Linked DNA regions of Struthio camelus. The protein of the gene in region 2 purifies or fractionates together with the protein of the main gene of each other region. This does not show direct contact. Links are inferred from orthologs where the notes say so. Each region holds a gene or a part of one and is shown on either strand. Other genes may lie near its edges.

What was found.
Region 1: the proteins of OTUB1 (region 2) and SLC7A11 purify together in Homo sapiens (affinity purification with western blotting; 5 studies listed by BioGRID, with this or other methods). This does not show direct contact. The link is inferred for Struthio camelus from reciprocal best matches to the Homo sapiens genes OTUB1 and SLC7A11.

Annotation. Positions count from the first base shown.
Region 1 is NC_090945.1:32,140,526-32,147,808, forward strand, and holds the start of SLC7A11 (cystine/glutamate transporter), read right to left. Parts: upstream 3,049-7,283; 5' UTR 2,732-3,048; coding exon 2,455-2,731; intron 2,299-2,454; exon of another isoform or gene 2,224-2,298; coding exon of another isoform or gene 2,166-2,223; intron 1-2,165. UniProt on the Homo sapiens protein: Heterodimer with SLC3A2, that functions as an antiporter by mediating the exchange of extracellular anionic L-cystine and intracellular L-glutamate across the cellular plasma membrane.
Region 2 is NC_090976.1:1,104,881-1,112,420, reverse strand, and holds the start of OTUB1 (ubiquitin thioesterase OTUB1), read left to right. Parts: upstream 1-4,523; 5' UTR 4,524-4,662; coding exon 4,663-4,717; intron 4,718-5,422; coding exon 5,423-5,484; intron 5,485-5,752; coding exon 5,753-5,851; intron 5,852-6,622; coding exon 6,623-6,741; intron 6,742-7,124; coding exon 7,125-7,209; intron 7,210-7,540. Other genes in the region: NAA40 (N-alpha-acetyltransferase 40), read left to right, coding at 89-172, 251-328, 717-858. UniProt on the Homo sapiens protein: Hydrolase that can specifically remove 'Lys-48'-linked conjugated ubiquitin from proteins and plays an important regulatory role at the level of protein turnover by preventing degradation.

The DNA.
Region 1 (7,283 bases), on a different chromosome or scaffold from region 2:
GCCTGCTTTCAGCACTAGCGATCACAGGTTAAGGCTCCGAAGGAAAGCCTGGCATGCCTGCATGCCCCATCCTTTGCCATGGGTGAAGCAATCGACTGACCAAAATCCTGAAGCAGGAATTGCAGATTAACAATTTTACTCAGCAGTGTTGTCAACGCCTTACGCAGAAGACTTGGGGAACGGCTTAGCCCTGGCTTTTCAACGCTTGCACAGTTGGGGGCATACTACTAACGCAATCAAAGCTCAGTTAAACTCTGCGTTGCCTTAAATATTATGGACAGCTTCACGTTTCCTTAGCAGGAGGCCTGTTTCACCCGTCGGTGAAGCAGGAGCAGCTCTCGGCCCGAGGCAGCCACCTGCACGGCCTGCATCCTCTGCCCTCGCAGCGCCGGCAGCAGCAGGCTGCAGCTGTAGGGGCCTGCATGAAGCAATCCTGGCCCGGGTACCATCTGCTACTGCTGCTTAATGGGCCATCATCCAGTCACGAAGCCGCTGGTGCTCCGCTCTGCGGGGGGACCGCGGCAGTAGAGCAGAGGTGTACCAAGTCTCATAAATGCAGGCAACTCTATTAGGAGCGCCTGAGAAGCCACAGGAAAACAATAATAAAGTTTGCAAACACTCATCGCATAGAGTTAAAATCAACAAAGTACGCGAAGTCATTTAGGCTTTGTTCCCTACGTGCTTTTATGCTACTGCGCTGTAAGATGAGAACTACAGTTGCCAAACTGGAGAGCACGTACAAGCCCACTAGGGCTGTATGACTTTATGACAAATTCCACCTGTGTTCATTTGCCTTGCTTGGGGCTTTGCAAAAGATGGCAGCTTTTGTCTGATATTCTTCAGCTTACCTGAAAACGTGCTTAAAGCAACTCTATAGCCGCGTTTAAGAAACCTGTTGATGGGGTTTTTCTTGGCAACTTCTTTGGGAGAGATTCAGGATGAAATCAAATTATGTTTCACTGAGAGCCTCACCAAGACTTCAGGTGATCAGTGATCTTTGTATGAAATTTTACTCTAAGTCATGCAGCGAATTAAATACATTAATGACATAAAAATTATGAAAACGTAACTGTAAAAATCCATTTAGAGTGAGAGGCAGTATCTTTTACTGGGCAGAGTTGTACAGTTCTTCACCTCTCAAGATCTGGAAAATGGTCTAGAAAATCCATTTGATGAAAGAGACTGATTTTTTCCTACAAACTGTGTTTCACAGCTACGAAATCACTGCTATTAAAGTTAAACCTAAACGGGCAACACTTAAGCAAGTTCTGTTTTAACCAAAGCTAAACACCAGAGTCGCACGACAGGGTTACAAATTGCATTTGAGGTCCTCCTTTACAGGGGGATTTTGCCTACAAGCAGGACTTCCACTTTTGGGCAACAGACTATGTTGTGCATCGTACTAATACGTTTAACGTTTGACCGAAACGGGTCCTAACTTTCCTTCGTTGTCTGTTTGGCTTGGGTGGACTTCTCCTTTAAACAGTCAATGCTTCTTTTAAGCTCAGAGCCAATTTACACAGGGTGGCATTTGCATGTTCCACCTCTGAAGCAGACACGTGTTCGTCAGTGTTTGCCCTCTTTACCTCCTGCCAGAAAACAAGCCGTCTGTGTTTTAAATAAAGCCAATATTCATGTTAGTTCTTCAGCTTCTCTGAGATTAACTCATTAAGGAGGTCAATAGACCCTCTGTTCCTCAGCAGCAAGGGTGAGGTTTCCCGCTCTGAACGGGGGCTTTGTGCGCGCGCCACAAATAAACCGGCACTCTTCGGGGTTTAATACCCCGTTAAAAGCAAAAACTGGTAAAAACTGTCACAATAGGCAGGTCAGGAATAAAACTCTCATTAGGAGTTTGTTTCTGTCCCGCCACGTTTTGCAGCACAATCTTTCCAAGCAGCATCGCGAGCGGGGAACAAAGCGAAAGCAGAAATCCACGTCTCGGGGAGGGGGGGGTGGTCATTATTATCGTTTTGCTCCCTTTCGTGCCGATACAGATTATGTCCAGCAGGTGTTCTTCCTCCCAGAGCTCGATCTAGCCTGGGGGGAACTGAGTCCAACTGCCTGAACATTTCACCAGCGTCCAAACGGAGCGGCCCGTATCCCCAGCACCTTGCAAGCAAACTCTAGGCTACGTCTTACAGCCTGAAGAAAAACATCATACATACAGCACACTTTCTGCCATAACACTGGACGTTTCCTTTTCCTCTTACTTTTGGGACCCATAAGAAACACGGTTTGCGCTTACAGTCTCTCCAAAGGGCTCCGGTTGCAAGGGGAGGCACGAGGGGTAGCAGCGACCGCAAGCCTCCGCGCCCTGGACAGTACCTATCCAATCGCAAAAAAACTCCTGCAGCCCCATTGGTCCTCAAGCTCAGCACTGCACTTCGATATCCAATGGCAAAATCATGCCGGTGACAGTGCTAATCCGGCGGCGGCCCCTCCGGGGTGACTTACCGAAGAGGGAGAGGATGCCGCAGGCGGCCCAGACGGAGAGGGACATGCCCACGCTGCCCGTGTTCTGCAGGATCCCCTTGGGCGAGATGAAGATGCCGGCGCCGATGATCGTGCCGATGATGATGGATATCCCCCTCAAAAGCGTCACCTTCTGCTTCAGCACCACTTTCTCCTCCTGGGCCGGCTGCTCGCTGTCCAGGGAGGGCAGCCTGCCGTTGGGTTGCCCCCGCCAGTAGTTTCCATTAGAGGCTGCAGTCACAGCAGCTTTCCTGAACATGCTACAGTGCCCCCAGCACAGCCAAGGCAAGCGCAGGCAAAAAGTTTGTAGCACAAACTCAGGGTCGTTGTTAGGGTGGTGTTTTTTTTTTTTTTCCCCTCCCTTCCTCCGTGTGAAACGAACCACTTGGTGCCTGCCTCCTGTAGCTGCCCCTGCACCCAGGTAGGAGGCTCCCGGTGCCTGCGGTCGGGGGAGCCCTGCTCAGCAACACCTGCGCTTGCACGCTGCTGGCTGGTCCTGCCCTATCGTTGGAAACCAGCTCGGCTTCCGCGTGGACTTGTATTTAAGCTCTTGTCATACCAAGTTACTCCAGCTGAATGATGATGCAAATTCTCCAGGTTTGCATCAGCCATTTGAGAAACCTCTGGCATTACTCAGCATTTCTCTCTCTCTCTCTTTTTTTTTTCCCCCTGAAACGGTAGGGGCATGTTGCACAACCGACCTGCGCGTGGTGGGCAGGACAAAGCGCTCGCAAGGAAACGGAGCCAGCTGAGCTGCGCGCACCGCCGGCGACACCCGGAGACACGCTCCCAAATTTTTAAAGCAACTCGCAGGCAGAAACAAAAGCCTGCCTAAACACAAGGCTGGTCCGAGCGCAAGGGGAAAAGAAATCAAACAGGCTACGTCAGCTCTGGGTCTTTTCCAGCTTCTTCCGCCAAAAGCTCCTCTTAGTGAAATTAAAGTTTGCGGGGGTCTAACTTTTTGTTCTGTTGCAATCGATTAGCTTACCTCAAGTCTACGTTACTCACCTGGAAAGGCGCACGAGGACTGTAAGTATCTACAGGCGGAGCCCACGTAAACCCTCGTTACCCCGCGTTGCCTAGCAACACGCCCGAATCGGGCTAATGAAAAATCTCGGTTATTTCCATAGTACAGCAATTTTCATACGTGCAGTGTTTCTGGGATGTTTGTAAGCCGCCCGGCAGCGACGCTTCCCCTTAAGAAACCCTGTTAACGTTTACAGCAATACCTTTTTTACGATGTGACAGGACGAGGGCAACGCAACAGAGCACAGGATCTGCAGGCACTCAGAAACCAGTGATTTTCGAGTTATCCTAGAGCTTCTCTGACTGGATAAACGGGTAATCAGATGCATAAATACTTTTCTCTCGCTACCCAACAATTCAAACGCAAGCAGGAGAAATTAAACTGTTTAAAAAAAACACTCTCATAAAACAGAACAAAAATCAATAGCCTCCAAGCACTTGTAGCCTAGTCAAGGGACAGCCTGCGCAGTATATGCCAAAGGGGAAAAATCCTTCGTAGCATAACTACTGCAGCTGCTCAAGGCTTCAGATTAGATCAGTGCAAAGAGAAATGATTGCTGCAGTTACTGCTCTTACAGTTACCGCTTAATTAGGACCCAGGATTACAACAAGAAAAAAAGAGAGAGAGATAGCAGTTTGACATTTTGTCATTTGAAAAGGGAGCACTGAGCTCAGAGCACAACAGTGCCTTCAGATTTGTTTGAGAAACAGGAGATAACTGGAGCATCAACACGCTGCATCTGTGAAACCTCAGTGTTTTTAAAGCCTCCTGTAATAATTTACTCGGGGATAGGACAGAGCATTAGAAAGCTTACATGGTTTAAATGTACACAGGCACAAAGTGATTTTAGCTTTTGAGTACATGCTGCTTCTGCTTGCCTGTTTTCTGAACACATCCTATTTCTTCCTCCTCCATCTGCTCACGTGCTCAGCAGCTGATCCTGCACATCTCCACCTAGCTTCTCCTCCTGGTCCTCAGGGCACCTGGTGCCAGACCCATCAGAGAAGCCCAGACCGGCTGCAGCCAGGACTGCCTCTTCTCACCCAACGGCCCAAACCAAGCCAATTTTCATGGTGCCAGATAAATCCCAAGCCATGAGTAGGTGGTGTGCTATGCAGAATTGTTTTCCCTTGATGTACACTTGATAGGCTGTCCCCTTAGAAGGTTATAAATGCCTGAGCTAAATAACTAGATCAAATCAAACCAGGAAAAAGCATTAACCACAGAACTGGGCTTGCCTGATGACCTTTATTTTAATTTTCAAAGGCTGCTTACTGAAGAAGCACATGACATCTTAAAACATCTAATAATTTAAGTTAATCATTCTTGACTAATGCTTATCCTTTATTTAAATGGGACGGCAGTTCCAAGATCAAATCAGAAGTTCAATAAGCTTCCAGACGATCCCGAGACGGCTCCCAGCAATCCAGGCGTCCACACCAGCTATTAAGTAAAATCACTGGATGCGGTAACGGCTTTCAAATTCTGTTTGACCACTAGCCAGAAGCACGTAAAAATGCTCTGAACCCACGTTTGCCCATCGGACACAGCTATTAACACTCTCCCGTGTGGGGAAAAGGGTGCTGGCTTCCTCTGTGGGGCAGGGATATCACACATGCAAAGTTTAAGGCTATGTGAACTTCTCACTGAATTTTCTAAAGTGCAAATTAGGCTGGATGCAACAAACTCTTTTTTTTCTAAATACTGGCAGCTTCCTAGGGATCACGCTGTTTTGCAGCTTTCCCGGTGGCAACTGTTGCATAGACCTCTTTCTCACTGCTGACTGCTAAAAATGAATAAAGGTTTAAAAAAGAAGTGGGGGGAGGGGGAAGCACTTTTTGTCCTCTGAGTTCAAACCTATCAGCACCATCCCTTTGCAGGGAATATTCATCTGGTTTTAGGTGACTCCTTGTTGCTTTCTGGAAATTTCATGAGAATTATCTGCCACTGGAGCCCTATCCCAAGGAGGGCACAAAGCCAAAGAGGCCCATTGCTGCGTGCTGCCCCACATTATCCAATACCCTCCCAAAATCTGATCGAATTATTTGTAGTCCCTGATACTCTTCCCACCAGCTACTTTCATCCGAATTATTCAGCACAGAGCAAGGGGCCGTAGCATCGCGACGCAAACACACGCCGCGTTCAGTGTGCTTTCACAGAGGGCTCTTCTGAAAGCGCAGGGCTTGACCTGCCCAAACCTCAAAACAGTCGCGTTCTTCCACAAAAATCTGCCATGGAAGCAAAAGATACATGGCATAAATTACTGCAGACTGATAAATACATTTGAAGCAACGACGGATTCTTTCCTAAATAGGATGCTCTGAAAATAAAATTTCAGCCTCTAACGGCAACCGGCACTGTGCACAGCCTTTTAACGTTTCTCTCTGTTTTTTCCCCATTTCATAGATGTGTTCTCCTAAACAAACGCTTTAAAGCATGACCTAGATCATCGCTGTGCAACGGTCTCCTTTTGAACCTTCCCACCAGCGCTGAACTGTCCATCCGTTGCCTGTTTCAAAGAGAACTGCTAACCGAGAGCGGGCGCCAGCCTTCCTGCGCCTCCAGTCTGCAAAGAGCTGCAGTAAAACATCGCTCCGCTGCGCTGCTCTCCGGCTTTGCCAAGCACAGCTGCCTGCGCCGCTTGCCCCCTTCGTGGGGTATATCATGCTCTGACCTTTCTGCCGCCTGCGTTACCCTGTGCCTGCGAATAAAACGCTCAAGCACCGTGGGCAATAAAGTTACAGCAGCCTTACAGAGGCTGCAAATACCTAGTGCAGAGACGCTTCAGTTTTCCGCAGTCGTACAGCCGCTAACACACACTTTGACACTGTTATACTGCTCGTTTTGAAGAAGGAAGAATCCTGATATTTACCCCGGGGAAAACCTTTACGGGAATGTTGCAGCACCCACACAGCCAAGTAAAGGACCTAAAATTCAAGCCTGGACTTGAGTTTCTCAAGCCCACAAAAGCTGCTTAATTTCTAGGTGTAGCAAGCATACCTTGACAACCCTTCCAGGCATCTGTATATCAGCTTATTGCATCAAGTAAATCAAAAGAGTCACAAGTCAAGCCTGCAGGCCACCCACTGCCACAGTGGCTGGAGACACCCGACTTAAAAAAGGGAAGTATACCAAGACCAAAGAGGTGAGGAAAGCCCCAGACTCTTGTGTGGGTGGCATGGCATGAAAAGTTTCCTAAACTGAGTTGAGTCTTCTCGGTATAATTCTGAGCTGCGTGTGAGCCCAGAAAACCAGCCCTGTAGGAAGATGGTACTGCGGCTTCAAATGTCAGAGGAGGGCAAAACACCCTCCTTTAGGGGAGAGAAAAGGGGGGAGTGGGAAGGTGTCAGTGGGAATTAAGTTGGAATAGTATCATCATGAAGTACGTGAAGGTCTCACAGTAGATAAGACCCTTTTTGTGTCTTTTAATGAAAACCTGAAAATGTGAGAAAACTAAAACAAGTTGTTGTTCTCTCTACTACAAGTCAATGTTTTAGTTAAAAATTGAATTATTGACAATGTTGGGGTTTTTGTTTCTTTTTTACATTCTAGTCAGAGCTTAACAAATTACTCACTTAAGCATTTTACATTCCATTTTGTGCGCGATACCAAGAAGTTATTTAGAAGAAAAACAAAAATATGAGAAGGAATAAGAGACATTTCCAATTCAGAGGCTTTAGAATTAAAACAAAACCCTGTAAGAAATCCAAAAGCAATTCAAATATTATTTCATGTATTTTCAGTAAAATGCTTCCAACAAAATACCCATACAGCCAGCAAATAG
Region 2 (7,540 bases):
GTGGGTGCCTCGCTCCCCCCGGCAGGCCGGATCCCGGCCGGCGCGGCGGCGGCCGAGGCGCATTTGTTTGCCCCTCCTTTCCCCTCAGCTACGAAGTGCAGCTGGAGAGCAGAGTGCGGCGGAAAGGGCTGGGCAAGTTCCTCCTGCAGATCCTGCAGCTCGTGGCCAACAGGTGAGGGCGGCGGCGGCGGCGGCGGGCCGGGCGCGGGGCTGCGCGCGAGCTCAGCGCCGCTTGCTCTCCTCCTCCCAGCACGCAGATGAAGAAAGTCATGCTCACGGTATTTAAACACAATCACGGCGCCTACCAGTTCTTCAGGGAAGCGTTACAGTAAGCGCCTTCTCCAAACTCTCCTCCTTTTCCCTTTGTGTGTGTGTTGGTTCCCCCCCCCCTCCCCGTTCCTGCCTCTCTTTGCCCCCGGGACGGGAGGGAGGGCGCTCTCCGCTTCGCCGCCCCGCGGCGGGGCTGGCGCTCGCCCGCGTAACCCGCCGTCCGCCCGACTGTCTTGCAGCGCGCTGGCGACGTGGTGCGAGAGGGGGCCGGTGTAGACTTAGGATGGCGGGGAGATTTGGGTGGAGCGGTGCCAACGGCGCCGGCCGGCGGCTCGACGGCGGCCTGCAGAGGTGGGTGCGCGAGTCCCCGCGGCGCCGGCCGGCTCCGCGCCCGCCGCCGCCGCCCCCCGGGGCTGACGCCGCCGCCGCCGCCCCCCTGCCCGCAGGTTCGACGTGGACGACTCGTCGCCCAGCGTCTCGGGCTGCTGCGGCGACGACTGCTCCTACGAGATCCTCAGCCGGCGCACCAAGTTCGGCGAGGGCCAGCAGGCGCACGCCGGCGGCCACTGCGGCGGCTGCTGCCACTGAGCGCCGCCCTTCCTCCCCTCTCCTCCTCCTCCGCCGCGCCGCGGGGGCAGCTCCCGGGGAGGAAGCGGCCTCCGGCGCCTCCTCTGGGTGTTGGTTTTACTTTTTTATTTTTTATTTTGGGGTTTTTCCCCCCGTTTTTTCTCTGCCACCTCGCTGGAGTCGAAGGGATCCCACGTCCCCCCCCCCGGCCCTTTCCCCTCGGTTTTGTTTGTACGTTGCCAATAAAAACACTTTGTCAAGGCCTCGCGCTGGTGGCGCCCGCTCGGGGGGGGGGGGGGCAGGACGCCTGGGCCCCCTCCTCGCTCCCCCGAGGGGCTCCTGTGGGGTGCGAGGACTACGTTTCCCAGCAGGCCCTGCAGCTTTTGCCCCCCCCATGAAAGAGAGCTCCCAGCGTGCCCTGGGGTGGCCCCACAGTGTGTCCCAGCATGCTTTGCTTCCCCCCCCCCCCCAGCAAGGGGGAGCAGGGAGCGCTACAGGCGTGTGCTGGGACACGGGACCCGCCAGTGCAGGCGTGTGCTGGGACACGGGACCCGCCAGTGCAGGCGTGTGCTGGGACACGGGACCTGCCAGTGCAGGCGTGTGCTGGGACACGGGACCCGCCAGTGCAGGCGTGTGCGTGCAGCAGGGCCCCCCAGTGCAGGCGTGTGCTGGGACACGGGACCTGCCAGTGCAGGCGTGTGCTGGGACACGGGACCCGCCAGTGCAGGCGTGTGCGTGCAGCAGGGCCCCCCAGTGCAGGCGTGTGCTGGGACACGGGACCCGCCAGTGCAGGCGTGTGCGTGCAGCAGGGCCCGCCAGTGCAGGCGTGTGCTGGGACACAGGACCCGCCAGTGCAGGCGTGTGCGTGCAGCAGGGCCCACCAGTGCAGGCGTGTGCTGGGACACGGGACCTGCCAGTGCAGGCGTGTGCTGGGACACGGGACCCGCCAGTGCAGGCGTGTGCGTGCAGCAGGGCCCCCCAGTGCAGGTGTGTGCTGGGACACGGGACCCGCCAGTGCAGGCGTGTGCTGGGACACGGGACCCGCCAGTGCAGGTGTGTGCGTGCAGCAGGGCCCCCCAGTGCAGGCGTGTGCTGGGACACGGGACCTGCCAGTGCAGGCGTGTGCTGGGACACGGGACCCGCCAGTGCAGGCGTGTGCTGGGACACGGGACCCGCCAGTGCAGGCGTGTGCTGGGACACGGGACCCGCCAGCTCCAGGCAGGACCCACGAGCACACGGCTGGACACGGCACCCCCGGCGTGCGCGCAGGACCCACAGACACAGGCGGACACAGCTGGGTGCGGGGGACACGTGAGCAAGCTGCACGCGCAGCCACAGGCCGTGACCGGGAGACGCGGCGGGGCACGCGTGGGACACACAAACGCGGGCACGTGCCCAGCCGGACACGGGGAGGGCGCGCGAGCGCAGAGCCGCGCCACCGGGCAGGCGAGGCGTGGGGGGCGGAGGTGCGCCCGCAGCCGGGCACGGGGAGAGCGCGCGAGCGGGGCGAGGCAGCCGCACGGACGTGGGACGGGCACGCGGCGGGGGCCTGGCGGCGCGGGGGGGGGGGGGACACGCAACAACCCGCCGTGGCCACACGGAGGGCACGGGTGGGGCCGGGGTGCGCACGCCTGCACACGTATGACCGGGGTGGGGGGGGCAGGAGGGGGCGGGGCCGAGTCGAGGTGGGCGGGGCCGAGCGCGGAGGGGGCGGGGCTGAGCCAGAGGTGCCCAGAGGTGGGCGGGGCCGAGCCGAGGTGCGCAGAGGTGGGCGGGGCCGAGCGCGGAGGGGGCGGGGCTGAGCCAGAGGTGCCCAGAGGTGGGCGGGGCCGAGCGCGGAGGGGGCGGGGCCGAACCAGGGGTGCGCAGAGGTGGGCGGGGCCGAGCCGAGGTGCGCAGAGGTGGGCGGGGCCGAGCGCGGAGGGGGCGGGGCCGCGGCAAGGCGGGGGCGGGCGCGCGAGGGGGCGGGCCCTCGCCGCCCGGCCCCGCCCCTCCTTCCCTCCGCCCCCTCCCCGCCGCCGGCGGAAGTGACGCGCCAGCCGCCGCCACTTCCGCCCTGGCCGCCGCCATGCCGCTCGCCGCCCGCCTGGCCCGCGCTCTGCTGCGCCCCGCGGCCCGGCCCGGCCCGGCCCGGCGCGGCCTCGTCTCGGGGCCGCCGCAGCAGCCGCTGGGGCCCGCGGTGAGCAGCGGAGCGGGGAGGGGGGGGAGCCGGGGCCGGGGGGCGGCGGGGGCGGCGGGTGACCTTGGCGGCGGCGGCGGCGCTGACGGGGCTCTGCCCGCAGGAGACCGTCGTGGGCTTCGCCGCCATGTTCCTGAGCTGCCTGGGCCCGGCCGCCTGGGTGCTGGCGCACCTCGAGGACTACAAGAAGCGGGAGTGACCCCCCCTTCCCCCCCCCGCTCCGCCGCGACCCCCCCGCCGCTGCCGAGACCCTCTGCCGGCGCCGCACCGGCACCGAGGCCCCGGGACCAGCGCGACTCTGGAGCGGGGCTGCCGCGGGGGCACCGGCACCGCTGGGACCCCCGGACCCCCGTCAGCGCCTCTAGGACCCCCCCGGGGCCACCGAGACCCCTGTCAGCACCTCTAGGACACCACCGGGACCCCCATCAGCGCCTCTGGGACCCCCTGGACCACTGGGACCCCCATCAGCACCTCTGGGACCCCTCCCAGACCCCTGTCAGCACATCTAGGACACCACCGGGACCCCCATCAGCGCCTCTGGGACCCCCCGGACCACTGGGACCCCTGTCAGCGCTTCTGGGACCCCTCCCAGACCCCTGTCAGCACCTCTAGGACACCACCGGGACCCCCGTCAGCGCCTCTGTGACCCCCTGGGACCACTGGGACCCCCGTCAGCACCTCTGGGACCCCCCCGGACCACTGGGACCCCCGTCAGCGCCTCTAGGAACCACCGGGAACCTCATCAGCACCCAGGACCCTGTACCAGCTCTGCTGGGAACCCCACTAGACCCCTGTCAGCACCCAGGACCCCACACCGGGACCATCGGGACGCTGCTGGGACTGCTGGGACCCCCATCAGCACCCAGGACCCTGTACTGGGACCACTGGGACCCCCCCCCAAGACCACCAGAGCCCTCATCAGCACCCAGGACCCCACACTGGGATCACTGGGACCCCCCCCCTGGGACCACCAGGACCCCTGTCAGCACCCAGGACCCTGCACTGGGACTGCTGGGACCCCCCCGGGACCACCAGAGCCCCCATCAGCACCCACAGCCCTGCACTGGGACCACTGGGGTGCCGGCTCCCCCTCCCCTAATAAAGGCTGCTTGATGCTCTGTCTGTCTCTGCCTGTCTCTGCCCGGACACCGGGGTCCCTGGGGGTGATGTCACCTGGCCTCACTTTGAGGTCATTGGGTGACATCACAGCTCTGGAAAAGGGGGGGGGGGAAAGGGAGGTGCTTGGTTACCATGGTGAAGCTCAGCCCTTCTGGGGGGTGGTTGCTAGGGGATGAGGGTTGGTGCTAGGAGCAGTAGCTAGTGATGGGGGCTGTTGCTAGGGGTGGTTGCTAGGGGCTGTTGCCCACAGGGGTCGGGATGGAGAGCGGTTGCTAGGGAGTTCCAGGGGAGGGTGGTTGCCGGGGCGGTTGCTAAGGACCGGAGCCAGTTGCCAGGGGGCGGGGCGGTTGCCAGGGGCGGGGCCCGTTGCTAGGGGCGGGCCCGGCGGCCGGGCCCGGCGCGGGCGGCCGGAGGCGGTTGCTAAGGCGGGCCCGGTCGCCAGGGGCGGTTGCTAGGGGCCGGGAGCGCTTCCGGCGGGGCGGGCGGTGACCCGGAAGTGCTGCGGGGTGCGGGGCTGCAGCAGCAAGATGGCGGCGGAGGCGCCTCAGCAGAAGCCGGAGCCGCTGGGGGGGGACGCGGACGGTAACGGCGCCGCCGGGGAGGGCCGGGGGGGCCCGGCGGGACCCCGCGGCCGGTCCCCCCCCAGCGGGAGCCCCATCGCGCCCCGGTGACCCGCGGCCCCCCCGGCAGGGCCCCCCTCGGGGCCCCGTTACCCCCCGGGGACCCCCATCATGGCCCCCCCAATGCCCCAAACGAGGATCCCCGTAGCGGGGCGCAGCCCCCCCGTGGCCCCCCCATGGGAACCCCCCTCAATGGGGCCCCGGTACCCCCGTCCCCCCCCGGGCTCCCCCAATACCCCCACGGGGGCCCCGATGCCTCCCGTGGCCCCCCCAGCCCCCCAATGGGGCCCGGAGCCCCCTGGGGTCCTCAATACCCCCGATGGGGCCAGGACCCCCCTTATGAGGCCCTGGTGCCCCACGGACCCCCCCGCTGCCCCCCAATGGCGGCTCCGATACCCCCTGTGACCCCCCCCAACCGCCCTCGGGGTCCGGATCCTCCCCCCGGGGCCCCCAAAGCCCAACGGGGGCCCTGATACCCCACGGTGCCCCCCCAACCCCCCCTCGGGGACCTCGTTAATGGGGGCCCCGCTGCCCCCCTCCATCCACGGGGGTATTTGGGGGGGTGCAGGACCCCCCAAAAATGGGGCTGGGCCTGAGGGGGGGGGAAAACTCCTTGGTCCCTTTCGGGGGGGGGGGGGGGCAGCTCTGACCACCCCCCCCCCCGCAGGAGTGAACTGCCTGGCCTACGACGAAGCCATCATGGCGCAGCAGGACCGGATCCAGCAGGAGGTGAGGGCGGGGGGGCCCCAAATCCTCCCCCCGGGGGTCCCCCCAAACCGCTGCGCCCCCCTCCCGCCCCCGCCAAGCCGGGGGGAACCCCCCTCCCCCCCTCCCGCCGCCTTTACCGCGGGCTCCTCTGCGGTGGGGCGGCCGCGGACTACAGCTCCCAGCGTGCCCCGCGGCGGGGCAGGGCGGGGAGGCGGGGGTGGCGCCGCGGGGCACGCTGGGAGCTGTAGTCCGCCGCGGGGCCGCATCCTGACCCGCGGCGCCGGCGCAGATCGCGGTGCAGAACCCGCTGGTGTCGGAGCGCCTGGACCTGGCCGTGCTGTACAAGGAGTACGCCGAGGACGACCACGTCTACCAGGAGAAGATCAAGGTACTGGCGCGGCGCTGGGAGCCCCGTCGCGGCACCAGTGTGGCACTGGGAGCCCCCCTTGTGGCACTGAGAGCTTTCTCAGGGCACCAGTATGGTGCTGGGAGCCCCCGTTGTGGCACTGGGAGCCCCTTCAGGGCACCAGTGTGGCACTGGGAGCCCCCGTTGTGGCACTGGGAGCCCCATCACGGCACCAGTGTGGCACTGGGAGCCCCCGGTGTGGCACTGGGAGCCCCGTCACGGCACCAGTGTGGCACTGGGAGCCCCATTATGGCACTGAGAGCTTTGTCAGGGCACCAGTATGGTGCTGGGAGTCCCGGTTGTGGCGCTGGGAGCCCCGTCACGGCACCAGTGTGGCACTGGGAGCCCCCATTGTGGCACTGGGAGCCCTGTCAGGGCACCAGTGTGGCACTGGGAGCCCCATTATGGCACTGAGAGCTTTGTCAGGGCACCAGTATGGTGCTGGGAGCCCCCGGTGTGGCTCTGGGAGCCCCGTCGCGGCACCAGTGTGGCACTGGGAGCCCCCCTTGTGGCACTGGGAGCCCCGTCAGGGCACCAGTGTGGCGCTGGGAGCCCCGTCATGGCACCAGTGTGGCACTGGGAGACCCCGTTGTGGCACTGGGAGCCCCATCACGGCACCGGTGTGGCACTGGGAGCCCCCGGTGTGGCGCTGGGAGCCCCCGCGCGGCGCCGTGCCGCATCCCTGCGCTTCGCAGGGCGCCCCGCGTCGCCCGGGTGCGGCGGGCCGGCGTCACCGTGTCCCCGCGTCCCCAGGACCTGCTGCAGAAGTACTCGTACATCCGCAAGACGCGGCCCGACGGGAACTGCTTCTACCGGGCCTTCGGCTTCGCCCACCTCGAGGCCCTGCTGGAGGACAGCCAGGAGCTGCAGCGGTGCGCCCGGACGCCGGGGCCCCCCGGCTCCGGGGGGGGTCACCAGTACACTGGGGTCCCATGGGGGGGGGGATTGGGAGCCCCTGGACGCCTGGGTCCCCTGGGTGGGGGGCAGAGGGGTGGGGGGACCCGGCTGAGGGCCCAGGTGTCCGGGCTCCAGGTGAGGGCACCGAGGGGCTGGGCGGGAGCCTCGTTAGCGGAGCGGCTGCTAACGAGCCCCTCGTCACCCTGAGACGGGGCCCAGCTGGGCCCGGACGCCTGGGTGCGCTGGGAGGGAGGGGACGGGCTGCAGGGAGGGGGGAGATGGCCCCCCCCGGACGCCTGGGCCCCCCCCCCGGACGCCTGGGCCCCCCGGCCGTGGCGGCAGCCCCTCTCTCGGGCAGGTTCAAGGAGATCTCGGCCCGCAGCAAGGACGACCTGGTGGCGCAGGGCTTCACCGAGTTCACGATCGAGGACTTCCACAACACGGTGCGACACGGGGGGACACGGGGGGACACGGGGGGATGTGGGGACACGGCGAGGCTGAGGCTGCAGCTGAGACCGGGGCCGCTCGTGACACGAATGCGTGTGTGTGTGTGTGCGCCCCCCCGGGGACGTGCGTGGAGCGTCCCCACGTGATGCGCGTCCCCGCGTGACCCGCGTGGCGTGTCTGCGTGCCCGCGTGGCGCGTCACCCGCGTCACCCGCGCCCCCACGCGACGTCTCACTCGCGTCCTGGCGCGATGCTGGCGGCGTGTCCCTGTGCCCCGTGCGAGGCGTGTGCCCGTGACCCCGTGGTGCCCCGTGCAGCGTGTGCGTCT